Arabidopsis thaliana: one gene and its partners. The protein of the gene in region 1 interacts with the protein of each later gene in a biochemical or structural test. Each region holds a gene or a part of one and is shown on either strand. Other genes may lie near its edges.

Region 1 (7,812 bases):
GCATCTCAATACTAAAAATGTTTTTTTCATATACAACAGGTACATTTACTTCTTTGAGAAAGGGAATCCACATATCACTCCATCTGATATACAGAGCCTCATAGAATTGATCAACAATGAGATGCAAAGCGACAACGGTAACACGACAATCCACTCAGATCCCTTCTTTACAAGTACATTGCGTTACATTAAGTTCATAAAACAGAAAGGTGGTTTGATGGGTGAGAAATATGACCCTATCAAGCTGTGACTTAAATCCGAGACACAAGCCTCATCAAATCCCGAGAGGAATTCTCTGTATTTTCCAAAGAAATGTTGGAAACTCTGAAAAGGAAGTGTACACTACACATGTTTGTTTTCTTTTCGGTCTTATTACAAAATGGAGAAAACCTTTGTAATTGTTATTTTCTTTGTTCCTTATACTCACCTCACCTGTGTGTATAGAATCCTCGTTTCTGTAAACCATTCTTTGAAACTATGCCTCAATTCAACGATGTCTCTAATCTTATTGTATATAGAGATCTATCTCAAGATGTTCTTCGTTGTCTGAATCTAATTACATACCAATACAAGACCATAAGATCAACGGAAGCTTAAAAAAAGTCACTAAAAAATTAATTAAGATTTCTGTTAAAGAAAATACAAAATGGACCCCAACAGCAAAAACAAAGACAACATAGTATTAAGAGATTAGTCTACATAGCAAAAGTACAACAACAACAACAACACACCAAGAAAAGAACACATCCCCTTCTCTTACCCAGAATCCTCCTCTTGGCCTCAGTTCACTCATTAGATTCACCAGCAAAAAGAAGAGTAAAGACCGAAACAAGCCGGATTCAACAACTATACAATGTTGCAGGTGTTCGTTTTCCTTCAGCTTCTTTTGTTACCTAAACCTTTTTTCGTTTTAAGAGATGTTCGATCACAAGAACACGCAGCGGTTCTTGTTCTTTTTCTTCTTCTTCTGTTTCGGTGGCTGAAGCACCACTTTTATGGCTGCGTCAAAGACTGCTTTCACATTCTGCAAAACCCAACAATCAACATTTTCACTGTCTTACCAAATACAAAAATCCCAAACAAAAAGACATGTGAGATATTATTTATGTGTGTAGTATACCTGCTGAGTCTTTGAACTACATTCAATGTAGATTGGTGATCCTATCAGTTTCTTTAGTTCCTCTCCCTGCAGACAAACAACTAAAGATCAAGAACTCGCAAAGCAAAAAACACTATTGTTTTAAAGAATTGTGGAGTTATGTACCTGGTTTGTAGTAATAGGCACTGCACCAGGATGGTCTATGAAGAATTGCTTGTCATCTCGAAGATCTGCAAATTCCAAAACTTGAATTATTATTCATCTCTTTCTTATTATAAGGAAAGAGTTTTTAGACAAGAAGAGAGTCAATACCGAGTTTCGTTCCAACGAGGATTATAGGAACACCAGGGGCATAATGCCTAAGCTCAGGAATCCACTGAAATAAAGAAAAAAAAAAAAAAAAAAGCAAATGAAGGAACCAATTCAAAATCAGCTTAACGAAAGTTATTACTATCAAATGAAAGACGTTAGATCAACAAAAAGCTAACCTTCTTGGCTACATTCTCGTAGCTAGCTTTGCTAATAAGCGAGAATGCAAGAATGAAGACATCGGCACCACGGTAACTCAACGGTCTTAACCTGTTATAGTCTTCTTGACCTGCACAAACCCAAGAATTATCAGTCAAAATGAAACCACAAAAAAACAAGAAAACCAGATTTGATGAGTTTCAAAAGGATTATTTACCAGCTGTATCCCACAATCCAAGATTCACCGTGTTCCCATCTACAACCACATTAGCACTGAAGTTGTCGAAAACAGTTGGAACATAGTCCTGATATTCAGTAACCAAGTCATAGAGTTTGTTAAACTAAAACACACACAATAGTGGATCATCATTAACACACACAATAATGGAAAAGATTATAGATCCTCATATCTGCAAATTTGACTAATACATACAAATTGAACATGAAGTCCAAAATGAAAGAAGAACAATGCTCATAGGTAAAGATAAATAACAAAGAAGCTAAATCCATGGAAGCATCAATAAAAGTTCTGAAGAAACATGTCAAGAATTGATTTTTACAATTTTTACCAGCTAATCAATCACATTCAAGAACAAAGATGAATAATCTCCAAAAACCCATTTTCAAAGAATGCTTCAAGATCACTACTGAGAGCAAAAGGAAGAAACTTTACCGTAGGGAAAGTGTTGCTTGTGTAAGAAATCAGCATACAAGTTTTTCCGACGGCACCATCGCCGACGGTGACACACTTTATAAACCTCGAAGCACTCATCTCCGCAGCAAATTCACAAACTCAAAAAAAGAACCCTTTTGCACTTCTTCTTCCTCAAATCCCAGCCATTCCCAAGAATCAAGAAACAATCTTTTCTAACTCAAGAAAAAACCCTAATCCCGAATCGTAGTAGAACACGGGTAAATTCAAAAGTAGCAAGCCAAATCGATGAGAGATAATAATGGCAAAAGAATGAGGAAAATCTTTGCTTTTTCTTTAATTTGCAATGTGTTTTGGGCCGTTGATGATTCTGAGATGAGCTTTTCAATACCAACCTTATGCCAGCTATTTGCTACACCAAACAACACCTTATCATTTACACTCACCCCACTTTAGTATTTCTTTTAAATAATACTAATTTTGAGCACTTTTAATTTTGAATTTGAATACAAATTGAGAAATTATCCGTTGTAATGAGTTTTTTTTTTTCTTTTCCTTTTCTGTATAGTAGAAATATCTTTTTACATTATGAAATTACTATCTGTTTTATGAGATTAGCTAAACTACCACCAAAATAAAAACCTAATTCACTAATAAACATGGATTTTTTTTTTAATTTTCTTTTAACAAAAACTAATGTTTTCTAATTTGACCATAGTTGTTAACCTAATTGACAATTATAAAAAAAAAAGACAGCAAATAAATAAAGATTATAATTTTTAAGAAAAAAAACTAAGAGTAAAGCATAATAAACGACCAAACTATGGGGAGGGAGGGCATGAAATTGCCAAATATTAATCATTGGATTGGGACGACTCTCGTCAAGAACGTGCGACTTAGTGTTACGGCACCATTTCATTCCTTTTTCTCAAATCCCTTATCAAATTAATATGGTTTAATTTTGTCAAGAGTGTCTTTGTCTTTGTTTTTATAGTTGTAATTTTAAAGAGTTTTCTTCATCTTTACGACATAAGAATCGAAAAATCTTACACGAACGTGCTCAACTCTCTTTCAACCTACCAATGAGCATACGACACATCATGAATTGTCCCACATTAGATTTATCCAAATCATACGGTCGCATTATTACAGTTTGCTTCTAAAGGACCAAGGACACATCAAAATTTCACCAATTATATTTATATGAACTAATATTCAATCATACCAAACTAAAGAAGGGGTTAGAGTTAGCTCTACGCTTCTACCTACTCTCAACCAAAAACACCTTTACCCATTCATTCTGATTCTTACATGAAATGAATTTCAGGCTTTATGATTTTTTTTATAAGAAATTTGATAATGATTGATCATGAAATCTAGTGCTTCTATTTAAAGCGACTTATTTGAAAATGAATAAACTTTACATTAGTGATTCAAGTGACAATATGGAGTGCCATAAGGGCCATAACACAAAGGCACAAACACACTAACACAACTGGAAGCTAGAAAAGACAATAACACGAAGGCTCACACTTGAGGCCCAGTAGCGAATTAAGGCCCATTATGACAACTCTTGAAATATCATGATTAGTGACCATTTTTGCCACCAGGGCCCATGGGGTACTTGGTTTGGTGAGACTCCAAATGAATTGACTGCCTAGTGCATGCTTATCCACGAAACAAGAGTTTTTACTTGTTTATTTTGGAATGTAGTAATTCATCTGTCATAGAAGAAGAGTAAAATATGTTATGTTTTAAAACATTATCCAATTTTTTTTTATTTTTTTGTTGCGTAATTAGTATATAGATAAGATGTAGTAGACTAAAGTTTGTCGGTTTCTCAGTCATTCAACATTTGTTAAAGCTTTAAAGGCATAGTGCTAAAGTTTGACAAGTGGAAACAGTCTCCATAATAGATGGCGCACATAGTTAATTGTGTCTAACAATGGCTGCGGTCGACTGATGGCCCATAGTTTGACAAGTACAAACAGTCTCCATAACAGATTTGCCTCTGTCTTTAAGCAAATCGACAGGAGCACATTAATTAGAGACACTCTCCTGGCTCGAAGGTACCGCAAAGGCCGCGGTGACTGCTCTCTCAATGGTTTTCCCATGCCTAGCTCGTAATAGTTCTCTATTTGTAATCTTTGCGTTTATTAGTTTCTGAGGCTTTTTAAAAAACAAATTGTCTTAGAAGCTATTTGTCCCAAAGATTTTTGCAAGTAACAATGTTTCCATTTTGGTAATTAATCACATTTCAAAAAAAAAAAAAAACTCACATTTTATCAAAAAAAGAAGAAAAATTGTGTCTAACAAAAACATATGCATTGCTTAGTACTGAAAATTTAAAACATGGTTGAGACTTGAGACATTGGGCCCATATATGCAATATAGAGCCATACGGTAATACATTTATGAGAGATTTTTACGACTTTTCTGAATCAACCTCGAACTATAAATTATAAAACAGTCACATGTTATTCTAGTTAGACTTCAAGTAGTGAGAAATTCAGTAAAAAGAACAGTCAAACCCACAAATTTCTGTTACATTATTTAACAATGAAAACACACAAATATCTGTTGTAATAGAGTAATAAGTAAGCAAGCATACGTACAGTGTGATACACAGTACAAATCTAACATCAGATACTAGCTTGAGATAATTTAATATTAATATGGGTGCAGGAAATTTTTGCCACGCTGGTTCAAACTCCATAGAAGTAACAGTTTTGTTTATATTAACATAATTTACAAATCTTGGAATTGGGATATCTATAGATATTTTTTGAATAACCACATAACTAGCTGATCAGCATGAACATTCTAGATATCAGTCTTGTAAATTGACATAATTTTGGTGGAAACATACATTTGGTATTCTTCTCCGAAACCGCCTGTTTTTTACATTGTAGCCGAGCCTAAGTACAATAAATAAAAATTCAAAGATGTCAACACAAGACCTCGTTTTTTAAAGTTGAATTAGCTAGGTAAATCTCTTTGGTATATAATTAAGTCGGAGATTGTGTTATGTAGCTAGCTCTCTTTTATGTATAAGCTGAATACTCTTTATTATAAGCAGTTTTTATGAAATACTATAACATATTCCTCCGATTCTCTATTTTCAAATAATCGTTTGTGTTGTGTTGGAGTTTTGCAGACAAATATGGACAAGAAGAAACAGTAGTATACGTCGTACGTAAAAGTTTATCTTATTAAAACAAAGCAACATAACATATCTGGTACATGTCATAAGACCTCTCATAGAGTGACACATACTTATTTAATAGAAATACACACTTTATAATTAAGCATTAAGAGCTCTTGGTAGATTAACATGGGAAGTAGCAGATACATTTGTGAGCTGGGAAGACATAGTTGCAAGATCCATGTCGTGCTTTCTCAAGGTTAATGCACTGATTCTTGCACGCGTTACTGTTTCCGCAAACTCCGGACCATGTCCCACTTGGCCTCTCGCACAACTTCTGTGCTTCCACCACCATCGGTGCTTCTGCATATAGATATATCTCTCACAGTTAATTATCACAATAAAATGAAAGAAAAAAGGTTAAAACTCAATTTTCCATGCATATGGTATACGATAACATCATTACTCACCAAGAGCAGCAAAGAAAACAAGAGCAGCGAAGAAAAGAGTAACGATGGTAGCAGACTTAGCCATGACTATTGTTTATACTTAGTTGTTTTCGATGTATATATGTTTTAGTTTGAAGAAATCTGCTTGAAATCAACCACTATTTATAGTGAAAAAATGATGGGGAGGTCGACTTTTACGTGTGCATGGGACAATAAAGCGTTCAACCCTATAAATAAAAAAATACACACCGTCTGATAGTAGAGAATACTAACATGCAAGTATTCATCTAATGATAGAAGATAATATCTTGACCAATTCATAAAAAGTGTGCTGATCGTGATCGGTGGCGAGTTTTCAGGTGCTACGTTTGTTCATTTGCAATTTCATTGGACCGGTGGCTACTACATTAACTGTTAACATCTCTGGCTGGTTAATTTGACTTGGTCAAAATTTTAAATATGTTGAGCATATCCTAGTACGGTACTCAAGTGGTACTTTGTCTCGACCACATCGCATTTAATAATAAACCATGAAGTTGGGTAGTATTTTTTTATCGACTTTTATTATTTTTTACTGAAACCTCCAAGGAGCTACTTCACTAGCTGGCAAGTTGATAAATTAGGTTATTTCTTCACTTTCTTTGGTATTGATTATATAATCATCAAACTAATTAGGATCTAAACATGTAATTAAATATTAGCAACATAGTGGATTTGGACTAACAAATTTGTAAAATAGCGCATAGATTATATTTAATTTCGTAGTTCCCACCTCAACTCCCACACAAAACTTCTTGGATTCAACTCTGCCATTTTCGGACGACCGAGAAGATAAATCCGATTTAATTTTATTTATTTAACTTATTGTTTTAAGGTAAAAAAAAATTTTTAAGAAAAACTGAAAGAAAATTCGTTTTCGATTTCATAGCCGTCATCCGCAAACTTTGACAAAGACTTGTCTCCTCTTTAAACATTTTCTGTATCAACAGCCACGTACCTTCAAGCCCTTCTAAGACAGCACCAGCACTAGCCGTGCATGGACAAGACAAGTAACAAACTCAGAATAGTACACCACCCAAGTTAATTTGTTAGGTTATTATTAAGAATAGAAAGAGAAGTTAACATTGTTAGATATGAATTATATTTGGTTAGATTAAGAATGCTTAACTTAGGGAAGGCTGCTTCTCTGTTTAATGTAACTTAACTATTTAAGTGGCTGCTTTGGCTTTTGAGTCAAGTGTTACATTGCCTATAAGAAGTGGGCTTATTTTGAATACACACACAATTAAGGGATCAATTATGGGATTAGCATATTAAAGTCTGTGCTTTTGTAGATATAGGAACATCTCATGTTCCTTACAAATTTAGATACTTTTATATTATATGGATGACTGTTTTATCCTTCAATCTAATTGAGTTTCTTCTCCTTGTACCTTCAATCTAATTGAGGAGAATTCATCAATATCAATCGATCTCAGAAATGTGCGATTATTTCTCTCTCTTTCTCTTTCTCTAATGGCATGGAATCTATTGCCTCTAAACTCACCATTGATGTCCATTGCTTCTCCATCACCTTACAAAATTCAGATCTATGCCTGGCCAATCTTCTTCCTCGACGATGCAGGTGGTAATCCTCCATAGCTTTTTTGAATTTGAATTGTTTGATCTGAATTAATTTCATCCTCTCTTTCTTCAATTTCAAAGAGGGATAAGAAATAATTGAAAATTTTAATCGATTCCAATTATTTAAGATTAGTATATTTGGGTTCGTTATATAATATTTTCTTAGGGGTTAGCTTTCTTCCATCAAAAAGCTTTTAACTGATTTTATTGGGGTTTATCTGAATTGGATGGTGATGAAATGTTATTAACAGATTTTCTAATTTTTGTCTCTATCGATTTTGTTTCCGTAAATACATCTTTTGTGTATATATTGTCTTGTAGAAAGAAACATTGATTAAGTAGAGAAATAGGATAATCAATCTCTGTACTTAATACA
Region 2 (8,142 bases), on another chromosome or scaffold:
TAGGATTATACCTGTTGAGATCAGAATTGAAATCTAATTACCTCAGCTTCAATTTCATCATAGAGGAATCTCTGCCTCAGAACAACCAGAGCTTGTTGAGCTGAGTCATTATAAATGTCAAAAGGTAGCAGAACACTCTCAAGAAGGCCTGAATTCTGGGCTTCCAGAATGTAGTCTATCAGCATCCATGGTAGTGAACACTCAATCGGGAACTGCAGTAATGAACGTATAATTTGTAAGAACAAGTCAGGGCTGCAGTGAAAACAAAGTGGCAAAATATAGTTATAACCTTTTTGTAATTCCGCATACCTGAATAACACGTGAAGACTCCAGGTAAAATTCTCTAAACCACAGGAACCCCAGATCAGTCAATATTCCAATACTTGCTGCAGCCATCGTAAATTGAAGTTGAGGAGTCAGCTTACAAAGCTATTGATATGGCTCAATAAACCAACCAAAAAGACATTTAAGCATGTGGGTTACCCGAGTAGTCCAATATGTGCAAGAAAAAGCTGAGCTTGTAAAAAAAAGTTTCTAATTGCTTTAAGTCATTAACAGGAATCTCAGAGCCATTATTTCCAAAGAATCCCCCTGGCCTCCTCAGATTTCCACCAGAGACAACCTCATATATCAAAAACTGCAAGCAATGCACCTGAAACAACAAAAAAGCAAGAAGTTCAAGCACTGGATCTTACCATCTGTTGTTGTACTTAAAATCATCTTGAAATGGACCCAAACCTGTGCTGCTGTTGGGGCAACAGGCCTCGGATAAAAGAAATTCCCTCTGCTTTCATCATTTCCATGTTGTGAAGATGGCATCTCATGTTCGGGCCTGGTATTTGCCATCCAGTCAGCTGAAAGTGTCCGCATATCAGAAAGAATCCTGAAATGCAACCATACATATGATAAGTTAACAATATGCAAAGCTTAAGTTTAAGAGAACATGGACTTGAAACAGAAAGAAAATAAAGGAAAACCAATTCACCTTGAGAGATCTTTCTTCTTTCGGAAGGTGGTACGCAACATTGTGGCTAACGTGTTCTGTACAAAATCTTGAACTTCGGCATGTATTGTCTCCCATAAAGCATCTGCAACTAATGTGTCACAGCGCTGCAGCATCGATCCTACACTCTTTATATAGCCAACAAGTTCTACCAAGGCTTTCCTTTCTTCTGCAGTATAATTGAACCTCACCACCTATTTAAAAGAATCCAAAACTTGTTACCATAAAAGATAAAACTTTTCGAAAATATTTCACAAGTATTACCTTCTCGTAATCAGAATATGATCCGGAGGCTTCAGGAGTCTCTCCTGCATCCCTACATGGGCGAGAGAATTTCCAAGCACATTGCTCCCAAATGCGTGCTGTCCATCTACTTAACAGTTGGAAACCTTCAACAACCATATCGTACATGTTTCCTTTGACCTCTCTGCACCATTCAGTATATGCTCCATCGTTTGACTTCAACAGCAATAACTGCATGAAAGCAAGTGAGAACAACATCCTAGAGACTCAAAATAAGAACAAGAAAATTGGAGCTCCAGGGATAGAGATAGCTTGAGCACCTGATTCATGGATGAAGCAAATCGGATTGTGAAATCGTCATGCTCAGCACGGAGAGCTCCAATGTGATTGACTATCAAATAGTGCCTCTGATATGTAAAATATGTTAAGGCTTGCAATTTTCAAAGCATGTGTACGGTTAACAATAATCCAGATAATAGTTAAAATAGGCAAGTAACAGTGAAAATATTAAAGGATATTCTAGCGCTTCACGTGGAGGGAGCTCATGAGGTGCTGGAAGAGTCAGAAGGCGAGTCTGTGATGAAAACTTTTGAAAGTATACCGACAATTCTTTCAAAATTGCAGCAGGAGAAAGATGGAGATCTGGAAACGCAGGAATGACAGGATCATTCTGATAGCCGAAAAACACACAACAAATATGACAATTAGCGACTTGGAAACAAGGCTTTGCGGTATATTGGTTGTGAATGCGAAAACAGGTATAACATGAATCTCAATACCTTGAAAATGTTTATCAATCTGTTGAGTTTTACCCTCTTGTATAAAGCCTCGGTATCTTTCTCAGATGGTGTTGCTAAGACAACAAGAACAGGTAGAACCCGGAGAAGAATATACCGCTCAGGAAAAAGTAGTGCAAAATCCAACTCCAGAGACTCCACGATGAAGACTATGAGAACTTGGAGAATATCTTCCACACTGAATTTACTAAGGAATCCAAAAGCTTGCAATATAGTCAAATGGCACAAGGGACTTGAGCAGCATGCATATCTCAGATAGACAAACCCATAATAATGTCTTTAACAGCCACACGATGGTGATAAATGTCTGGAAGAAAGGATACTTGTTTACACGGAACATCTCAACGTGCAGGTTGAGTAAAATAGCCCATCTTGTGCTCAGGAAGATCTGCATACATAAGAACTCACATTTTCATTTACGACAAACCACAGGGGAAGGCATTATCAAATGATTGCATAAACAAGCCATGCAAACACCTGCAAGTCGTCTAACTCTTCTCTCATTGTATCTGTATCTTGCCACTGCGCACTGACTTGAGTGAATGTTCTGAAAAGAGTGAAACTATCTTAAGAACATAAACTAAAAAAAAAAGCTTCTAGGAAACTAATTCAACTCTTAAATAGAGCTTTAGTAGCTGAAAGGATTAGTAACAAACATCGATCTACCTACATTCAAGTGTCCTATTTGCAGAAAATATAGATAGGAAAGATAAAAGTATTATATCTTTCACCTCTTATACCAAGAGAAATCATTAGGAATGCTAGCTTTAGCATTTTTAAGATGATCCAGCTGAACCAAGACGTCAAGCAACTTTAGCATTGACCTATATTAAGTAAAATCACAGTTAAACTATATACACGAGGAAAGTTAATCATCCAAGGATCTAATACAAAACACAAAATAAGAGTTATAACCCACCAAAGATGTGTGACTGTGGGACCATTGATCCGCCGTTCAGGTCTGGAAAACCGCTGCATGTCAGCAGCTAACTGCACAGACAGAGAATATACGCACATTATTTCTGATACAGGAATTTATATAAAACGAGTTGGACGAGGAAGGATATACACCGCACTTTAGCTGAAGCCGACGATTGCCATCTTTGAATTTCGCGTAAACGGCTCATTTCTAAGTCCAAAACTTGATATGTTTCTAGATACAAATCCGCTTGACTATGCTTCATAGATTCGGGAAGCTGCATGTATATCATTAATAAAGAAAGTTATGTGTGTTATGGAAGAAATATACACAACAACACCCAGCAAGAAGTACTGTATTTGATATTATTTTCAGTAATTTCTATCATTCGCTATTATTTATACAGAGAACTTTGTTGTTGCTTTTATTTTTGCATTATAACTGCATTATACTTTGTAGTTCAAAAAAGAGTCTCGTACAGTTGCTACGAGATTTCGAATACCATGAAGAACTAACGCATAGCATAATTCTCAAAGCTACATTTTATCAGATAAAATGTCTAAAGGTAGATATGCAATGGAGACAAGGAGTGTAGTGATAGATTTCACAAGGACCTGAGGCAGTGCTTTGACACAACTTCTATATGTGTATAGAATTGACGCCATCTCTTTTCCTTCTTGTATAAGTGTATTCTGCATATATACAATTGGTTGAAAACTTACTTGAAGTATTCAAATATAACACGATTAACACAACATAACCGTAAAAATATCAAATCGTAATTTAATCAGTCTTTCTAAGATGAGGCAAATGAAGAAGAATAGCCATATACCAGCTGGTTAAGAGCTTTTGTGTCTTCTGATAGAGACAACCGGTATGCAGCGACGTCACTATATTCTACAGAATAGTAATAAAAAAAAAAACATCTTGATTATTTGGATTTTATGGTAAAAGAGTGACAAGAGAACAATGAAGCATACCGATGGGACTATCGGTTGCTGCTCTTTCAGCTGAAACCATCACAGCCGGTCCTTGGACTTCTGGTTGCTCATCCTATAACCAAAATTCAAAATGCTTCAAGAAAATGTACTAGAGTGACTTCAAATTTTTCAAGAAGCTACTTAAATCTTCAACATTTCGTTGAAACTTATTTTACTGCTAACTTAGGCAAAGATCCACAGGTGATTAAACAATATATGTGATAATTTTACACGAAAAGGATTTAACAAGAAATAGAAACAATAATTTCATATCCTTTCTAGAAGAAAATTTTGAAATATGAACTCCGGAAAGAAAATTTGTAGTCAAAAGGATCCAAAGACCCACAATTTCTAAATTTTACCAAAATCTAGAATATCGAAGTTACCTCTAAGGAGAATGTGGAAAGAGCTGCGATTGCTTCCTCTACAGGAACCGCCATTGAGTCACCTGGAAAGATCAGACGAAGCAATTAGCAACATTGGGCGACTAAAGGATAAAGCTTTCAACTTTAAGGCTCTTACCCAACAACAATGGAGAGGAGAGGAGAGCTGCTACTACTTCAAGTCAATTGATTCGCCTTTCTTCTGATTCTTTACGGACAGAGATCGATAAATTCGCTACTACTCTGTCCGAACCAAATATTTCGCAAAGTTGGAAGCTTTCTTTTTCTATTTGTTTTTCTGTAACAAAAAAAAAATGTTTCTTTTTGGGTCCTCGTTTGTATTTTCACCTTTCAGAATTTTTCTTTAGTACATATTTGTTCAATCCGATTAAAGCTTTGAGAAGAAGCATTACATTTGTGTCTTTACTATGAAGCAAACTTGATGACAGCTAAATCATTATTTACTGATTCCTTTATCCTCAACCATTTCTTATTTTGGGAAAATACATAAGAGTAATACCAGTAACAAAACAAAATAGATATAAATACAATTTTACAGTGAACAACTACTGAACATAAAATAAGTTACTTTGTAGAATCAGTAACAACTTTTAAGGTTTAACCGGAGCCTTAAACCAATCCGGATAAGAACCAGCAGGTGTTGGTGCTATCGGTGTGAGCATGTAAACCGTTCACGGTTAAGTGTTAGTAGCCTAATGGAAAGGACATGCCGTCTAAGTCTAACCAGAAATTTTTGTTGTAAAAACATATGAATTGAGAATGAAACTCTAGAAAAAGCGAAAACTGTCTTGGATTCAAAATAAAGTACTTTCTTTAGCTACAAAAATAGGGAATACAATAAAATGGAGACGAAGATGATTAGAAGAAGAAGAAGAAGAAGAAAGAGTAAATTATTCATCCAATTGTTTCAAAAGCCTGAAGAGACCAGCTGCTTCTCGAACCCGAGAAAACTCAATGCAGAAAGCTTGAACTTCTATGAATAGATCCTTCACTGTTACATTTTTTACCCAAAAAAAACATATATCACCCACAATTGTACATCATACTAATAGACTATAAAAGCTTCCTCTGTGAATGTATCTAGTGATCTTTCTGTGTTATTAGCAAAGCAAAACGCCTAATTTGATAGCAATCAGTCAGAAACAGAGAATGCATACCGTTGATGATCTTGTTACGAATTAAGCTTTGCAAGAAGACGCAAACAAGCCGTACAAGCCTATTCTGCATGTATTTGTCTTGCTGCTACAGATCGAAAACAATATATCACTATACCGTTAACAAAACAACTACATTGAAATCAACAAATCCGAGAATCATATACACAAAGCACATAATGCAAAGCACAAGCAGAAGTTTTTTCACACAAGATTATAGGATGGCGTTATGGATACTCATAGAAAGCTTTGTTTTAAGTACCTAACGGGAAATCAAAAGGACGCTTTGTTTTAATACCTTAGCGTTCTCACAAGACGATATGCAATTAGTGATGTACATCCGTATGAAGTCCTTGGGAAGTTCAACTGCAGTTGTGAGCCTATTCACAACTTCCATTGAGTGCAGGCTCATGTCCATATTTCCTAGAGCTTCATAATAGCTGAAGAAGCATTCTTAGATTCCCACTTTAAAAGTTATAATTTTGGTCGAAAGTAAATGGTGGAACCAATAAGGTGATGACTTACTCATTAATCTCTGTGGAGTTATTCAACTTGGTGAGAATTTCAACTGCTATCTGAGGATTGTGCTCTACTAATTGCTGAGAATAAGAAACTAGATCACATGAAAAAAAGAAAAAAGAAAAAAACCACCTGCCAGAAAATGAATCACATACCGGCAGCTTCCGTGGAGTTATTCCGCAGTGAAAGACAAGCTTTGGGTCATTTGCCAATTCTGTAATGATGTCCTGGCCAGTAAATAAATAAAACAAGTTATTTCAATCACTCAAAAGATCCAGGTTTTCTAAATTCATCAGCTATACGGGCAAGGCTGATGAAATAAAACATCACAATCACTATTTATCTATTGCACGGTTATTTTCCATAAACTCTTACTGCAGTCAATTCCTTCTTAATATCCTAGATCTTTAAATCCAATGAGAAAGGAAATACTAGAGTGATAGCACGAGCACGACTTCTCTCTCAAAACTACTGCCATACAATGGCTGCCTTTACAACCTTTAAAATTTGTGCATATGTAGTTACTGTCCCATTGCTATGTTAACTTGCTTATAAGTGTTAGAGTAAGATAGGTAATAAAATGGTCAATACTTGTATGATTTTATGCGCATATCAAGAATTAACGAGCGATAACATACCTCTTGCTCCGTAGGTGAAAGTGTCACCTTTAAACCCTTAACAAGCAAGTCTCTAACTGTTGCACCACTGCTAGTATCAGCACACATTTTATCGTCCCAAACAAGCTCATGCTTGTTATCAGGGTCAATCCAAAGCAACTGTAAGAAGTTGAACCATTTAGGTCAGTTCGATAATTTTCTGAACCAGTTGAATAAGGGGTTATTCTTATTTTTACCTCGCTCTGATGAACTGGGTACCTTGGTGGACATGGACGGATCCACCTAGGACCTAATCCCCCCATTGTCAAATTTCCTAAGAATCCAGATAGTGCCTCATCCCTATCACCAGATCCAATTCTGGGATTCACTCCAGCTTGCACATCAAACCTATAAGATTATTTGACTCAATGATCATTCATACAATCAACTTCAAATTGGCACATTAATTATAACACAGAACATTAAGCTTGGAGGAAAACTGGAAGCTTGAAAGAAATAGATCAGATTCAACTGTATATAACAGTTAGAAAGAAACAGAATCCCCTGACTCATAGGTTACGTACTCTGGAGAGTTAGGATCACACCCACGAGGAACATCAGGATCATGCAATAGCTTTTTCAGGGAATAGTCTGCAAAAATGTGACTAGATGGTCCAGGATCGGCTTTGTCGCCATACTCTCGTTGCAGCTCTCCTAGTTCCGGAAAATCCTGACAGAGCATCCCCATATTAGATCAATAACTGGAAAAGGTTTCTCTAAATGTTCTCTAGGTAATGTTAGGCATAATAAAGGAACAGTTACGATGAAGATAAAATATCTTAAGAGATATAATTGGAAAGAAGATATCTATGCATCAACCGCTCTTACATGAGTTGAAGGATCAAACGATCTGATATAATCAACAGCTGAGAGTTTGAGAATCTGCAAGGGAGCACACTTTCGTTACTTTAATTGATCATGATTACTTACGTAGTATCCACAGGTCACAGAGCTCATAAAATTTTACGAATCAGGACTTGAAAAAAATATCAGAAACGAAAGAAGGCTTAGCATATGCCTGATAGGAGTGATGGACTTAATTATGACAGAAATAAATGAGCCCAGCAAACAAGTTTAAGGAGATCAGTAGTCTTAGAGAGTATATGTGAAAAGGGAATTGCATAACATATTTATGCATAAATTTTGAATTTTCATGGATTAGCAAAAAAGAAGCAGGCAAACAGCTATATCCTACCTCTTTCACGTTGTTGTAACTATTCCATTGTAACAGGTGGAGAAGAAATGCCCTTTCAGACTTTTCCAGCTGTTCATTACAAGCAGCCTGCAAAAGGCATAGATATTGTTATTCTTTCAAACGATAAGACCACGTCATGCTAAGACACAAAACATGTTGGCTTAAATCAATCTAATACACGGAAACTCAACATTCTCAAATACCATGCAACTTGGAGAAACAAATGGTCTGATACTATCTACCAAGCTTAACACTTAAATATGCTTACGAAA
Region 3 (7,825 bases), on another chromosome or scaffold:
CTTTGTCGAGTACAGATGCAAGCAGATGCAAAGCAAGACATCTCTGCCCGGGAATCTGATATATATATCAATAATACATACAAATCAATGAGCAGTGATAACGAAAAAAACGCAGTCTCAGCCTACAGGTTTTGTTCAGCTAAAGCCAAAATGGAGGGAAAAAAGAATTTAACCATTAATTAGCATCAAAATTAAAATATGTGGCAATCATACATACCACACTTCGTGCAAGAGCAATAGCTTCTTTGATAGTGTAACCTGCGGCCCCAGGATCCCCCTCGGTTCTCAAGAAATCACGTTCGGCAGCAGATTCAACACCAGACCACTTTCCACCTGTACAGTCAAAGTGTAAGCAACCTAAGATTGTCATGTGTTTCAGTTGTATTGTTCTACTCACCAGTTTCAGCTGGCGAGACAACATCTTCCTCAACAACATTCCCGTCAAAAGAAAATCTCAAGTCTCTGGCTGCCTCAACCCTCTCAGTCCATGCATCCCACACGAATCCTTGGGCTATCCCTGGCTTTTGCACCACACTTTTTTCTTTCGGTATTGCCATCACTTTAGGAGTGACAAAATGACCCTCAGTTCTTGAATTCTTTGCTGTTTCATCGGTGATGGAAACCCCCTGCACAGAATGCTTTCGCTTCTTCAATTTTGCCTCACCTCGTTTCTTCAAAATGGAGAGTAGTGCAGGATCCATCTTGTCCAATAACTCAGCCTGAGCCTCAGCAATCTCGTCGGGTGACATTGTCTGCAACTTTGCATGGTTCTCAACATCAATATCACTTTCAAGAGACGAAGACGCGTGTCGAGTCCCAAGTCCATTCGAAACAGCTAGGGGAGGAGAAGCGTTTAAAGGAACCCTTTCCTTGGTTCCCAAATTTTTAATAAACGGTGCTTTATCAGAAACAAACTCTCTCTGGTCTGATGCCCTGGCAGCCAGTAAAGTGTTGCTGGATGTAGTGGCCGCATCGGCTGAAGCAACATAGGGCGGTCTCGTTTCAATGATCTTAAGTTTCCTTGATTGCTGAGGGACATGTGTGGATGCAGGATCATCCCCAGAGACCATATCTTTCCACCTCCCGAGGTCCATGTCTTTCTTCTCTTTTCTTTGAAGCGGTTTAGCAAAAGCAGCAATGGAGTCTGCATTCATGAAACGTTCTTCTGCTTCTTCTTCTTCCTGATCGTCATTGTAATCCTTAGGTTGTGCTATGCTGCTTCCCACAGGAGCCAAATGCTACAAAATCAAACATGAGAAACAAAAATTAGATGTCTCAGAAAGCTGAATTACAAGGTCAGGCACGGTGAAAAATTGTGGAGTCCCAAGTACTAAACAACAGTAGAAGGTGCTTAAAATCTAGAAGAAGGCAACAAAAGGAAGATGGAAACCTAAAAAGCACGCACTAGAGGATTGGATTGGCTTACGGGTCCGTGAGAACGATGACGAGCGACGGGGAAGGAAAGAAGGGAGGGCCTTGGGGGAAGCGGCTTGCTTGGAGGCTTATTCTCCGATATTCCTTTCTCCACGATGCTCCCGACAAGGCTCGCCAAGACGTTGTTCGGCTGTTCCGGATTGACTCTCCCGCTACTTTGCTCCATCACTCTAAACCCTCTCTCGCCTCCGCTCAGCAAAACGGAAAACTCTTTAAAACTCCGTGTCGTCCCGATAGCTTATAAGAACAAGTAAAAAATAACAAGAAAACCCCTTTCTGACTTTTTAATTATAAAATTGGAACATCAACTTTAATCCTGTGCAAAACAAACCATATAGTCATAGTCTATATTTGAACCAAAAGTTGTCGCTTTAGTGCAATGAAGAACATGATTAAATCACTCAAGAGACGGGTATGTGATGTTCATTCAGTTTTAGGACTTGGACCATAATCTTTGTAAACTTGGTAAATGAGCTAAGGAATTGATTTGTTAACAACATTTCAAAACTCCACATAAGATAACATTCTTGTTGCTATTACCACATTCGTCTTCGTAGTCAGACAAACAAGAAACAACTACAGTCTCTACAACCATTGATTTACATTCTTCTATTTTCAATCTTAATCTCTTTCCGGCGTCACTCCCGTTACTCTTCTTGAACTCAGATTCCCTGCATACGACCATGCTTTCTCTGTTTCTCCCACTATTCCCTTCTCTCTCGTCCCATTCCTCTTCACTGAATACAGCGGCGGTGCTCTCCTCGGGCTTCTTGATGCTACACTTAGGGCAGGCGTTGCAAATGGTGAACCGTGCGGAGAGCTCTGCACAGAGAACGCTTTTTGAGGGTTGAGTCCATTGATGCTGAATAGGGATAGCGATTCTGTGACAGAGATGGATCTTCTCATGGCATCATCAACATAAAGCACATCATCTATTCTGGCCGTGATGTTGAAGGCCATGCTCTCCATCACCCTAGAGTAACTCTCCAGAATTGATTGCCCTACATCCTGCAAGAACACACACAAACTCTTAAATTATCTAAGCATCGTTTCATGATGCAACCAGCAAAGCACACTCCAAACTATAATGTACCTTGTTGTACTGAATCTTGTTCATGTCCAGCGTTGTCTGGGGAAGTCCCGGGAAACGGATCCTGAGACTCTGCAAGAGGGTCTCGGCTCTCTGCACAAGGAAATCATTTCTTTCGTTGTCATTAACAAGGCCTTTAACCTTGCCACCCCAAGAAGACAGCTTTAGTTTCGCCTGCTTCTTGTGCCTCCTCCCATTCTTTTGTCTCCAAACATGCACAGCCGCCTCAATCCGGTTGGCGATTTCAAGAGTCTGATGTTCCGATGAGAGATCAAGACAGTCCAGGAGGCATTCGGGAGAGAACTTGTTTGCAGTTAAGTACTGGTAGATGATCTCTCCAAGACATTCCTTCCCGCTCTGCATTAAGTTTAAAATCATAACTCAATGAGCTAATCACATATAACGGTAAAAGAATTTATGCTCCAGCAGCAATGAAAAAGCTAATCCTTGAGCTCGAGAAGGCGCATACCTTGGGCAAAGTCTCCAAGTAAGGGTCGGGAATCTCCATTTCGGCAAGCACGCCACTGTTAATTGCCAATGCAGCCTTGAGAATCTGGTTAGCAAAGTCCCGACACTGCTGCAGTTTCTTCCTGGCCTCTTCTGACAAACCGTTAGGCGGAACCTTAGGGCAAGGCAGCCACCACTTGTCCTCCTGCCTAACGGAAGCTGGAGAATTGTAAGAATCCTTGTCACAATCACCAAGAACTATGCCGCGATCAGTGTACCAGAACTCAGTATCGGAGAAAGCGTCAAGCATATCGATCAACATAGCATCGAGCTTCTTGAGAGCAGGGAGATTGGCATAGAGATCAGAACGTGGACGGGTCTCCATGATCTCATAAGTTCCGCCTCCAGGGAACTGCTGAATGGAAGGAATGAGCTCAACGATAGAATCGCTAACACAGAGCAGCCACTCAAGTTCTCTGCGCCACATGGCCTTCTTCTGAGGAGCAAGAGGCTCAAGCCTCCATAGTTCGCCAAACACAGTCGCTGTGTGGACACTAGCCTTATTAAAAAACTAGAAACCCCTACTATATATACCAACTAACAAAAAGGGAAGAAGATTGAGATGGTACCAGAGAGATTGGTGATGGCGTTGGAGATAGCAAGCGCCGTACAAACCCCTTTACCTCCACCAGACATGTCTTCCCCGAGAAGTAGCTTAGCAAATCTCTCCTTCATCATCTCAATTTCTGAAACCCAATAGGAAACAAAAGGGAAATTGAATCCTAGTGTTCATCAATGTTTACAAAAGAGGTCAAATTTGGAAACTTTTATACCGGATAAATCGTTGTCTGGTTGTTTGTCATCCCAGACCACATCTTTGCCGCCGATCACCGGAAGCATGACTGGGGCCGGGAAGTAAAATCCTCTACCAGCGACAACTCGAGGGGAAGAAGGGATGGAGCTAGAGGCACCCTCGCCGTCGAAGCGGTGGCAGGAGAAGCTGCTGGAACTCTCGGACTCGCTAATGTCGGCGCTGGGACTGTAACTTCCGCATCTCTCGGAAGAGACTTCGTCGTCTTCCTCAGAAGATAAGCTCCCCATTATTGAAGCGGCAGAGATCTAATAACGGCTCAAAGAGTCCACATTTGGGTTAAGAGACAGACAGAGAAAGGAAGAAGAAGGAAGTGGATGTGATGATGATGCTTGTTTGATAAAAAGCAAAGCTCAGAGAGAAAGAGAGAGAGAGATGAGAGATAACAAATAAAAAAGACTCCTTTCATTTCCTCACTCACACTCTCTCTCTTCTTTTCTCTCCCATCCATCCATACTCACGGCGTTATCCTCTGCCGTTAGGGACAGGTATGAGGTTGGTAACAGATAAACCGTTAACTCACGGTCGTCACATTTTTTAACGGCGAGATTAAATTATATCCCACGGCCGTTCTCATAAGAGGAGCATGCGCTTGTGTTATATCAACCGTTGGATATTAAAAGTGAACCATCAGGATCTTTTCTACAGAGCAGAATTGAGAATCTCGAAGCGACCGAGAAAATAAAGAAAGGCTGACATTGTGTGGACTAGAAGTATTCCTTGTCGGATCATCAGACTCTCTCGTACCACACCGGCCTGAACTACGTTGCACCATATCTATCCTCGTGATTTTACGCCACGTGTATTACGCCCATTCGCCTGATCTACACTGTCCATAGTATTCTGGCGTCATTAAAGTATTCACATCGTACGGTCTAGATTGCGTTTGGCTTACTTATTTCGTGGATTCCGCTGTTTTCGGTTATGGTTTTTTCACGCAACGAATCTAAGCCGTTGATTATATTACTCTTCTTAATTCAATTCATTAAAGTACCTATTTAATGCCCTTTGAATTCGGGTTAATATAGTAATCTACAATATTAATGTCACTGATCACTAGAATATGCTATGGATTGGTGTTGATTCACATGCATGGCTTAATTAGTTGACTCTCTGCTCTTTTTTTTTCTTCTCTAAAAGGCTTTTAACCTTCCAAATAAACGTTTGTTTGTCTTGGCATTATTAGCAAATCTTTTCCATTGCCATGTTTTTCATTCGATTGACAGCCTTGTAATTTGTAATTGCAAGGTCAACAAAAACTTTGACCAAATAGAACAACTTTCTATACCAATAAACATTCTACATCTACCGGTGGATAATAATTTAAATTTTTATTTCATCGTTAAAGTCTGTTTATTCGAAATTAATGTTTCTAATATGTTATGTATGGTTTTTTTTTTTTTTTAATTTACTCTCTCTCTTCAAACTATACTATTTTGCTTGGTGATATGGTAGAGTTACTTGGTTGATTCATATGAAAACATTGCATTTGCCTACAAAAATTAACTTCAAACTTAGCAATAACCGTTACAAAACAGTAAAATTTTCATCAAATTTGGGTATACATTACAATTTTTGAAGTATATATAATAATTGTGCAACATATATCTAGCTATTGAAATTATAAAGAATAAAGAACTCAATATAATAAAATACATATCCCTAAATCAGCCATTGACGATTGGTCTGAGTAGAGTCATTAAGGAGTGGTGTGTTTATTGGAGGCTCGGCCACACAACAAAGCATTCTTAGGCAAAAGATATTCATCTCTAAGAGAGTGTGTTGGAGAATAAACTCGAAGGTAGAATTGTTGACCCAAGTATTGCCTCGCCCAATATTCACTCCTTAGATTCCACATCCCCACATTGTCCAGTGCCACATATACGGCTGTCCAAGATTCTGGATATACCTACAACAACCAAATACTAGTTTTGAGATGATTTTTTAAAATTTTTGGTAAGATATATGGAGTTAGAAACTATTTGTACCTGAGTGGTGGAGCGAGAAATAGCATCCCTAAGATTATACTCTCGTCTGCTTGCTTTTGACCATGTTCCTCTATCCGTCCTGTGGACAGTACTCACAAACATCAGATGCATGCAATGCATTATTACTAGCTACTATATATAGAGGACGATAGATATAGCTAATCTTTAATTATTCTCACCCAACAACCCAAAAACTATATCCATCGAGGTGGTAGCTTTGGACGATCTTCTCGCGGTTTTGAAATATGATTTCAAGGAAGTCTCTATGGTGTGCTCCCATCACTGACGTCTCCATTCTCATCCCTCTTCCTCTTCTCGGCTTGTCAGGTATGCTTCCCATTTTGAAAACGCCTTTGATCTTGAAGTAATCCGCAAGCTTTAGCGGAGTATCTCCAGGTACAAACGACACTCCGTTTATGGCGTAGCGTTGCTTCCTCTTCACTAGTGCCGCTGAGCTTTCCAATATCAAAGTCCTAGAAATCTTGATTCGACCATAGTGGTACGAACCCTGAGGGTTAGGCCTTGGCCCAGACGCGGTTAGATTGGTCCTAATGGACCGGGCTTGTTTGATAGACCAATCTAGTTCATCGGCAGGTTGTTGAACATGGACTGAATTAGCAGAAGATGAGTGGCTATGTCTTGAGTTGGAGTAGTGGATAGTAGATGAGACCAAGAGTTTTTTGGCGACAAATTTTGTGGAGACGACAATGTCATAGTCTTGGTCAGGCTGGTCCATGGTGACCAAGACCGAGTAAGACTGTCCAACGTGAATGTCGAGAGAGGTATACATGGACTGGACTGTGTGTGTTCCCTCTACCTCAACGAGCTTCATCTGATGACCTTGGATTCTGAAATTCAGAGTGTGTTGAAGCCCTACATTCGATATCCTAAATCTGTATGTTTTACCTGATAATTGTTCCACAACAAAAAATAAATGATGAGATAATATAATGCTTTTCTTCGTAATCAAAGTATTTGAGTGTTTTTAGGATGAACCTTTGTGGACGGTGATGGAAGACATGTAACTGACTCCTTGGCCATTGATCAAAACCCCTTGAGGCAAAGGTAGCTTGTGTCCTCTATCCAAAATTGCCTTCAAAACCTGAATAATGTTACATTTAATTATGGTCCTTGTATAACAATGACAAATACTAAAACGAACATAATTTGTTAATTCAAGAAAGAAATACCTTGTGGTCATGCTTAAACCAATCACCAATGAGGAAGGTGAAATCTCCAGCGGGTTCAGGGAAAGGGACGGGGATGCGAGGGCGGCTGAGGATACGGAAACCGCCAAAACCACCGGCAGCTTTGTGAACGGCGAGGGAAGGGAAATAGAAGAAACTACCGATCTGGTCTTTGACTTGGATGGCATAAGTGTAGTTTTTACCCGGTGGGATTGGACAAGTCGTCCCATACACTCCATCTTGGTAAGAATTCTTCCTCAGTTGCACTCCGTTCCTTCATTAGTATTTACCATTTTGTATTATATTAATTCATTGATATTATATTAACATGAAAACTTGACGTCTCGCCACCAATATAATCTCTAACAAGAATGTGAAGAAACAACACTAGTGCATGCAAATTGGCTCCATCATGCCATTTACCAAACTCCAATATCTATTTCCTCTAATATAACTAATGAATGAAAGAAAATGGTAGAGAAGGGGAGCTAGATAAATGGTACCAAGATAAGAGAAAGGGCTCGTCGAGATCGTTGTGAACATTGATGATCAAATTGTCATTGGTGACTGAGTAAATATCGGGTCCTGGATATTGTCCGTTTATCAGGATTCCCTGCGTGTATGAATAGAATATAAAGCATGCATGATCGAGCAAACAAAAACAGAAAGCATCCCGCCATTTTTGTGGATGTTGGAAAAAAAAAAAAATACCCTTTGAGGAATGCCAAGTGGAGAAATGTTGCCGTAAGTGACTCTCCAGTCGAAAAAACGGTAGGGATCATCAGCTTGAACAAAAGAAATGATGGAT
Region 4 (7,827 bases), about 28 Mb from region 1:
CAGATCCATTTTTAAACCCTAAACTATGTTTTTAGTAAAACAAATTCTGAACTAAAACCTGTTAATAAACTTAACCCCATAGTAATTAAATATTAATGGGATATTAATTTCCAAAAAAAAAACAACGAGACATTTGTATTTAGCGCAAAAACCACATGATGTTCTTTAAAACTGTTTTGAATTTATTACAAAAAAAACCTTCTAAATGATTTTGAATTGCTTAATTAGTTTGGATTTTAGAAGCTGAAAGAAAGATACAACAACTTAAAATAATCCAAGGAGTCATGCTTAAATAAATCCAACCAACATAACTATCGAAGCTGTTGCAACACAACAATATTTGTCACAAAAAAAAAAACAATCGTTTCAGAGGGACAAGATATTCTAAAGTAAAGACTTGTCAAACATTAACTTTGAAGAGAAGATTGTATTGGCTGAGTGATAGGGTTCTCTTCATCCATTGTTTTCTGTTTTTTCCTTGGTCGTCCTTGAGGTTTCTTGGGTGGTTTTGGCACTGCTTTACGCTTGCATGAACGTTTGTTGTGTCCGACTTGTTGACAGTTGCTGCAAGTCTAAATATGCAAAGATTAAATTAAATAATTTGAAAAGGAAGATCTTGTGAAACATAATTCATTGTTCTCTATTTTACCATTTGAACTTTTTCACGTGTATAAGGAACTTTTTGAGGTGGACGATCTTCAGTTGGATCACGGATTCTGTCATTGTTCTTTGGTCGATTTTTGGAAATTAATATCTCATTAATATTTAATTACTGTGGGGTTAAGTTTATTAACAGGTTTTAGTTCAGGGTTTGTTTAACTAAAAACATAGTTCAGGATTTAAAAATGGATCTGGCCAAAGTTGAGGGTTTTTTTCATTAAATTCCCTTTACAAATTAGAGTTGAAAGAGAAAAGTGTTTATTCTCCGTATTTCTAAAAAAACTACATACTTTACATGTAAAAAGTGTATACTTATTATGTAGTGAGGTCGGTGACCCACGTGACAATAAAATTATTTAAGAAGAAAATATAGTATTTCTCTCGTTTTGGCTACTGATTATGTTTTCTCTATCGAATTTATGTTTAAACAATGAAATCTGAAGTGCGTTTGATTGGGCGCAATTTCTCTCGTTTTGGCTACTGATTATGTTTTCTGAATCGAATTTGTGTATCTGTGTTGCGCGAATCTTATTTTAAAAGGAGATTAGCAGATCCACAAGCATCTCAGCAGCTTCGATCTCAACAGTCACAGCAGTCCCTTCTCTCAGGGACCTTCTTCGTCTCAGCGTGGTTGTGGTGGTTTCTCTCAGATGACTCAGAGTTCTATCGAAGATCTCCTCATCAACGATCAGGTTTGCTACTTAATCTAAAAGACTTAAGAGTTATCTTCTGTAGATCGTCTCTTCTTCTTCTTCTGAAGAAAAGTTAATTAAGCTATGATTGATTTCATATTTGGTGCTGACTTAAGACTTAAGAGATGTTATACGTTTAATATGGGTTTACACATAATTTAAAATTTTAGCACTTGTTTTTAGTATATTAATAAATATTTAAAAATATACTTTTATTTAACTCTTAACACTTGTTTTAAAACATAACTAAATGTTAAATTCTCCCCACTAATATTATTCCCGGTATCTAATAATCTATATACAGCGTTCGTCTTTCTTACATAAGGAAAACAATTCTTAATATGATTTTACTTCAATTTGAATCTTACTAGGTAGAAGAAATTAAAAGTAATTATACTCATCATTCTTCTCCTCTCATTGTTTTGTCTACATAAAGAACATCATCAATCCAAGCAACTATGTTAAAAGCTAAACCTTCAAGAACTCTTGAATAACTCTCTAACACAGCTTTTCCAACATCCTGCAAACCACAAACCATAAATTGTTATAATATTCAATAAAACATGATTCAGGTCACTGTTTGTTTCTTAATTACCTTGTTGCAATGAATCTTGCAAATATCTAACGATGTCTGAGACAATTCTGGGTACCGTTGTTTCAAACAGAAGAGCAAAGACTCTGCTCTCTCAGCCAAAACATAGTTCTTGTCACTTCTCTCTGTAATTGACATTAAATCTTTCACCATATTCCATGAAGACTTGGAATTGTTAAGACAAGCTTTGCGTCTCCATGTGTACATTGAAGCTTCTACTCTATCTGCCAGCTGAAGCGCTTCATGTTCTGATACAATCTTGAGACGATCTAGAAGTTTTTCTGGTGAAAACCGCCCTGAACTCGTCATGTGTCGATAGATTGCATCTCCTGTGCTCGCTTTTCCGCTCTGCAAATGCATAATATTGTAAGCAAGAAAATGACACCAAAAATAGAAAACCAAAACTTCAAAATCATCTTAAGTGTGGTTACCTTTGGAAGAGTTGCCATGTAAGAATCAGGAATATCCATTTCACCGAGTATGCTGCTATTGATGGCCATAGCAGCTTTATGGATTTGATTAGTGCTCTCTCGCTTGCTCTTAAGTTGTTTCCTTGCCTTCTCTGATAAACCTTGTAATGGAACCAGAGGAATCGGTAACCACCATTTCTCTTCTTTCCTCTGCACAATCACTTTCCTGAATGATCCAGTTGCGGAACGCGTTGACTTCATCGACAAGCTTCCTTCTTCTGCATACCAAAACTCTGTCTTTTGAAAACTATCCAATGCCTCCTGCAGAAAACAAAGAGAATGACTTTTATGAGGAATATTAACCGAGTCAATCTTATTGATGATAGCTTCTTGTTCTGGTGTAGTAACTACCATAAGCATGGAATCTAGTTTTCTGAGTGCAGGCAGATTGATGTAGATATCTGCTCTTGGTCTACTCTCCATGACCTGACAAAAAAACCGCAACAGCTATTTTTAAACTATTGATGTTTATTTCAGTTTTTGGACTTATATCTATAAGCAAATCTTGTTTACCTCAACAGTGGCTCCATTGCTTAGATTCTGTGACTTTGGGATAAACTCGAAAATATAGTCACACACAGAGAGAAGGCAATTCATTTCTCTCTTCCACGTCGTCTTCTGCTCTATCTCCAATGGTTCTAATCTTAGATTCTGTCCAAAAACAGTAGCTGCAAATCTCAAAATCAAAAGACATTAACTACAGTTTCTCTAGATGGCTTAGTTTGAAAGTCACAAAACTGTGAGGCGTATTAGTGTTTAGTTACCATAAAGATTGGTTATAGCGTTTGAGATTGTCACTGCGGTGCAAACGCCTTTGCCGCTTCCTGACATATCTTCCCCAAGCAGAAGCTTCGAGAATCTTTCCTTCATCGTCTCCAGCTCTGCTACGAAACCGATAACAGTTTCATGATTATAATGACAAAGAGGAAATACAGACACAGAGAAAGAGAGAGAGACGGAGAAACACAAAACCTGGCTCTGAAATTTCTTGGACCGCAAGGTGCTCATCAGTCTCAATCTGATTATGTTTCAAGTCGAAGACAGTTGGAAAATTTGAGCTCGCAGAGTTGTTGGATTCGGTTAAGACAGGCCAATCACTAGGAGAAGCCTCAGTGCAGAAACTGCTGGTTTCATCTATTTGGTCTGAAAAGCCTCCTCCAGAGGTTTCAGAACATGTTCGATGATAAGCAAAAGAATCTGTGCTCATTGTTGAGTAAACCGGAGTTTCAGATGCTGAATGATCATTTGGATCGATGGGACCAGGTGACTGATGATAGCCCACATCGTCGTTTTCTTCGTGATTTGGCAAATTCTCCATCTTCTCAATGTTCTGTTTTTGAAAATTCCTCTGCTTTTGTTGATCTCTTGTTTTAATAAAAGAAATAAAGCTTAGAACTTTCGTTGTGATGTATCAGGAAAACTTTAGAATATGAATCTAAATCCGACAATTAGAATCGGGAATTATTTTTGATTCTTGGATAGTGAAATTTTGAGGACCAGATAGCAGTAAAGTAGAAGAATTGTTTTGTTTTTTTTTGGCCAAAAGCAGAGACCGTTAGGCGTGCCAAAATCAAAAAGCAAAACAAAACATAAAGAAACGAAAAGAAAGAAATGAAGTAATCACAACATTATTTATCGAAACTTTCACGAAGATTTATTTTATTACTATAACAAACATTTCGCTTATGTCGATCAAGATACATGAAAGTCTGAAACTTGAAATTTTGAAAAACGATATTAAGGAAGAAGAAAAAAGCAACGGTCTTTATTTTATTTACCTTTAAGGCTTTAAAGCTTCTGCAAATTTGTCTTTGAATTTGAAACGCTTGAATCTTTTATAACGTTTATAAAACACTCTCTTTTCCGCATTAAGCTTTCTACACAATTTATCGGTGCCCGGAAAAAACTTGAACAATGTGGACCGTCCGATGGGGAAGGATGACTCATCCTACGGTTGAGATTGTGAAATGTTTTTTCAAACATTTCAACTAAAACAACTAATTGAAGATACGAAATCATAAACCCCAAAGGTACCTAGCGTGTTACGCGAGAAACACATAGCTACAGAGAATATCTGTTTCCAAATGTACATATGCTTTAAGATTAAGTAGGAGGAAAATCCATCGTGACAGTGAGACCCAATCGATCGAGAAAGCATCCATGATTTGGAGAAAATTAATACTGATTCAAATTGAAACATAGACTAGAAACGAAAAATAACAGCTTTCAGGAGTTGGTAACAATTTAATTAACCACTGAGTGATAATCGAACAAGACGAAAACCCGTCCGGAGTGGTTACTATAACTTGCATATAGTAACCATTGGTTTTAAACAAGCAAATTAAACGAAAAGAAAAATAAATACTGATTCAAATAGAAACATTAGACTAGAAACGAATTAAAATAACAGCTGACTGAGATTCTGTTATTATCGTCTCTTCTCATGGGCCATTTAGAAATTTACTTAGTTCGGATTTATTTTAAGGCCTTAAAGCCATTAATGGGCCTTGAGGTTGTAGGATTTGTTTATTGCTTTTTGTTTCATCTCAAGAATTAAATTACATCACACCAATATTATTTGTATATTTCTTCATTTATTAATACTAATTATTATTATTTTATTTATAACACGTGAGAGAAATAAAAATCGAACCGAGTCCACGTATTCTTCCATAAACCGGAGCTGGTAGTTGATACAATTGATTTACCTTGCCAGGTGGGAGGAAACCACATTTTCTCACACCTAATCATCATCATCCAACCGGCGATTTCTTCCGACTAGCCGAATCCGCCATGAACACCGAGTCAGGTAAGCCTATAACGTGAGATTGAGGAATGACGTAGTGAGATTTTCGGCGAATTCCATGTTGTTGCTGCTCTGTTTTTGTAGTTGTCGAGTTCCTTGGAAACGTCCCTTTACTCCAGAAATTACCGAGCTCTTCTCTGAAGAAAATTGCTCAAGTTGTTGTGCCGAAACGTTACGGTCGGTCCATTCTCAATTTCGGATTTATTCTTCTCTCTGATTTCACGATATAAAAAAATTGAGCTGTGTTGTTCTCTATTGTATTATTGAAGGGAAAGGGGATTATGTGGTTCGTGAAGATCAAACTTGGGATGGATGTTATTTTATTTTGCAAGGAGAGGTTTGTTTCTGAGACTAGATATCGATGTATCTATCTTCGCCATTGTTATAATTTGATTCTTGTTTGCAGGCTCAGGTTTCCGGACCAGACGAAGAAGATAACCGTTCCGAATTCCTCTTGAAACAGTATGATTACTTCGGCGTTGGTGAGAGATGAATGCTTTCTGTTCAACCTTGGGTTTGGTGATATATGCTCAGCTTCCTTGTCTTTTTTCTTCCTCCTACAGGTTTATCTGGGAACGTTCATTCAGCAGACATTGTTGCTATGTCCCAGGTATTTGCTGACTTTTGATATATATTCCAACGACAAGCGTGTCCAAGTTTCTTCCCTCACTTGTCATTGCAGCTTACGTGTTTGGTGTTGCCGCGTGATCACTGTCATTTGCTTGAGACTAATTCCATCTGGCAATCGGATACGTCACTTGACAAATGCTCTTTAGTGGAACGCATTTTGCAACTCGACCCTTTAGAAGTACGTACGGACGGTGTTCTTCTTTATCACATTTCTTTCTGCTTCTGGCAACTGAATCTCTTTTTCTCTGTGCTTCTTTCTTCTAGTTGAATATCTTCAGGGGGATCACACTACCTGATGCTCCTATATTTGGAAAGGTTTTTGGAGGACAATTTGTCGGACAGGTATCGCATTTTCTCTAGGAAGGTTACATTATTATGTCTCTGTAAACCTTGCTGATCTGATTCATGTGCATATATATATTGCTTGTTAACAGTGATAACCGTAACCACTACTAAGTCACTTTTACCAACATTTTACAGGCTCTTGCTGCGGCGTCAAAAACTGTTGATTTTCTCAAGGTCGTCCACAGTTTACACTCCTATTTTCTTCTCGTTGGAGATATTGACAGTATGTACATAATCTCACTGGGGCACTTTCTAGCCACCAATGATGCCTTTCTTCCCTATTGAAACCCACCCTGCTGTTGGATTCATCTGATTATCATAGTTTGTTGCTCTTGCTTGCAGTCCCCATTATTTATCAAGTTCACCGCATACGTGATGGGAACAACTTTGCCACCCGAAGAGTTGATGCAGTACAGAAAGGAAATATCATATTCATCTTGCTGGCATCATTTCAGGTTTCCCATTTTATTCTTTACAAGATAGCTTATGAATCTCTACGTCCACCTGCCACCAAGAGAGAATAGCCTTTCACAAAACTGGGAAAATTGTTTTCTTAAATTTTCTCTTTTATTACTTTCATAGAAAGAACAACAAGGATTTGAGCACCAGGAGTCAACCATGCCCTCTGTACCAGATCCTGATACGGTAAATCATTTCTCCAGATTTAAGGGTTCCAATAAATTGTTGTGTGTTTTATTTTTCACCATTATCTGCTACAGCTTCTATCACTGGAGGAGTTGCGTGAAAGCCGTATAACTGATCCTCATTTACCGAGGTAAGTGGTAGTGTTTTCCAATGTATGATAACTTATATCAAAAGCTCAAGTTGGACCAATCTTCCAATTGTTTCTTTCTTTCAGGAGTTATCGGAACAAAGTTGCAACTAGAAACTTTGTTCCATGGCCTATAGAGATTCGATTTTGTGAGCCCAGCAATTCAACAAATCAGACAAAGTCTCCTCCGAGGTTAACAACTCGCTGAAATAAATCAATTATATCATAGAGTACTCTTGAGTGTATACTCATAAATTCCATTAAGTATTTCTTAAAAAAAAAATCAAGAAACTCACAATGCCTTCTTGCAGATTGAACTATTGGTTTAGAGCAAAGGGAAGGCTTTCTGATGATCAAGCTTTGCACCGGTAAGTAACTCCATCTATGTATATCAAGGTAACCATCTAAAAATTGGTATTATTCATCTGGTAACAATCCTTTAAACTTTAAAGGCAAGAATGATTGTAGACAAGTGAATCAATGGTGTTTTAGTATCCCAAGTTGATAGGTTGAGACTTGTAAAAGGCCAAACTTTCTTAATAGCATTGAAAAACTGACGGTATATTGAAATTCAATTTATCATTCTTAGCAAACTAATCATTTGGCAAAGCCATGTTGATATGCAGATGTGTCGTTGCATTTGCCTCGGATTTAATATTTTGTGGTGTTGGTTTGAACCCTCACCGGAGAAAAGGGGTGAAATCCGCCGCACTTAGCCTGGACCATGCGTAGGTTTTTATTTTCTCTTGGTGATGTATGAGTTTTGTGTGTCTGGGTTAAATTTTTTAATTACATTGAGGCATTATTCCAGTAGGGATCTTCCAGATAAGTAACTATTACGAGTTACTATTCCTCATTTG

Evidence for each region.
Region 2: the proteins of ARAC5 (region 1) and PIR121 form a complex in vitro, tested with the Arabidopsis thaliana proteins (one study listed by BioGRID).
Region 3: of the proteins of ARAC5 (region 1) and ROPGEF1, one has a biochemical effect on the other in vitro, tested with the Arabidopsis thaliana proteins (one study listed by BioGRID).
Region 4: of the proteins of ARAC5 (region 1) and ROPGEF2, one has a biochemical effect on the other in vitro, tested with the Arabidopsis thaliana proteins (one study listed by BioGRID).

Annotation. Positions count from the first base shown.
Region 1 is NC_003070.9:28,470,491-28,478,302, reverse strand, and holds ARAC5 (RAC-like GTP binding protein 5), read right to left. Parts: upstream 2,655-7,812; 5' UTR 2,340-2,654; coding exon 2,241-2,339; intron 1,873-2,240; coding exon 1,785-1,872; intron 1,698-1,784; coding exon 1,588-1,697; intron 1,476-1,587; coding exon 1,412-1,475; intron 1,330-1,411; coding exon 1,265-1,329; intron 1,187-1,264; coding exon 1,121-1,186; intron 1,025-1,120; coding exon 926-1,024; 3' UTR 501-925; downstream 1-500. Other genes in the region: VPS35B (VPS35 homolog B), read left to right, coding at 40-250; LCR67 (low-molecular-weight cysteine-rich 67), read right to left, coding at 5,549-5,727, 5,835-5,898. UniProt on the Arabidopsis thaliana protein: Involved in cell polarity control during the actin-dependent tip growth of root hairs, thus regulating root hair length and root hair initiation.
Region 2 is NC_003076.8:6,100,402-6,108,543, forward strand, and holds the start of PIR121 (transcription activator), read right to left. Parts: upstream 4,580-8,142; 5' UTR 4,465-4,579; intron 4,391-4,464; 5' UTR 4,383-4,390; coding exon 4,329-4,382; intron 4,016-4,328; coding exon 3,943-4,015; intron 3,860-3,942; coding exon 3,795-3,859; intron 3,655-3,794; coding exon 3,577-3,654; intron 3,240-3,576; coding exon 3,120-3,239; intron 3,034-3,119; coding exon 2,963-3,033; intron 2,868-2,962; coding exon 2,775-2,867; intron 2,591-2,774; coding exon 2,521-2,590; intron 2,432-2,520; coding exon 2,367-2,431; intron 2,222-2,366; coding exon 2,026-2,221; intron 1,917-2,025; coding exon 1,765-1,916; intron 1,661-1,764; coding exon 1,567-1,660; intron 1,478-1,566; coding exon 1,268-1,477; intron 1,198-1,267; coding exon 986-1,197; intron 884-985; coding exon 739-883; intron 653-738; coding exon 484-652; intron 387-483; coding exon 310-386; intron 213-309; coding exon 42-212; intron 1-41. Other genes in the region: AT5G18420 (CCR4-NOT transcription complex subunit), read right to left, coding at 5,237-5,337, 5,504-5,588, 5,799-5,940, 6,026-6,099, 6,175-6,246, 6,658-6,795, 6,873-7,023, 7,200-7,345 and 2 more. UniProt on the Arabidopsis thaliana protein: Involved in regulation of actin and microtubule organization. Part of a WAVE complex that activates the ARP2/3 complex. Interacts with the active form of RHO-family GTPases.
Region 3 is NC_003075.7:17,982,890-17,990,714, reverse strand, and holds ROPGEF1 (rho guanyl-nucleotide exchange factor 1), read right to left. Parts: upstream 4,332-7,825; 5' UTR 4,073-4,331; coding exon 3,805-4,072; intron 3,718-3,804; coding exon 3,601-3,717; intron 3,515-3,600; coding exon 2,994-3,514; intron 2,882-2,993; coding exon 2,528-2,881; intron 2,443-2,527; coding exon 2,056-2,442; 3' UTR 1,846-2,055; downstream 1-1,845. Other genes in the region: IYO (RPAP1-like, carboxy-terminal protein), read right to left, coding at 1-55, 218-333, 398-1,238, 1,427-1,600; sks9 (SKU5 similar 9), read right to left, coding at 5,542-5,751, 5,831-5,909, 6,010-6,736, 6,827-6,932, 7,021-7,291, 7,521-7,630, 7,729-7,825. UniProt on the Arabidopsis thaliana protein: Guanine-nucleotide exchange factor (GEF) that acts as an activator of Rop (Rho of plants) GTPases by promoting the exchange of GDP for GTP. Acts downstream of PRK2 in the control of polarized pollen tube growth by activating ARAC11/ROP1.
Region 4 is NC_003070.9:257,743-265,569, forward strand, and holds ROPGEF2 (RHO guanyl-nucleotide exchange factor 2), read right to left. Parts: upstream 3,874-7,827; 5' UTR 3,733-3,873; coding exon 3,387-3,732; intron 3,296-3,386; coding exon 3,179-3,295; intron 3,083-3,178; coding exon 2,928-3,082; intron 2,862-2,927; coding exon of another isoform or gene 2,841-2,861; coding exon 2,376-2,840; coding exon of another isoform or gene 2,293-2,375; coding exon 1,948-2,292; coding exon of another isoform or gene 1,921-1,947; exon of another isoform or gene 1,873-1,920; coding exon 1,753-1,872; downstream 1-1,752. Other genes in the region: AT1G01710 (acyl-CoA thioesterase II), read left to right, coding at 5,208-5,223, 5,305-5,397, 5,490-5,557, 5,627-5,702, 5,784-5,830, 5,903-6,028, 6,115-6,192, 6,331-6,418 and 6 more. UniProt on the Arabidopsis thaliana protein: Guanine-nucleotide exchange factor (GEF) that acts as an activator of Rop (Rho of plants) GTPases by promoting the exchange of GDP for GTP.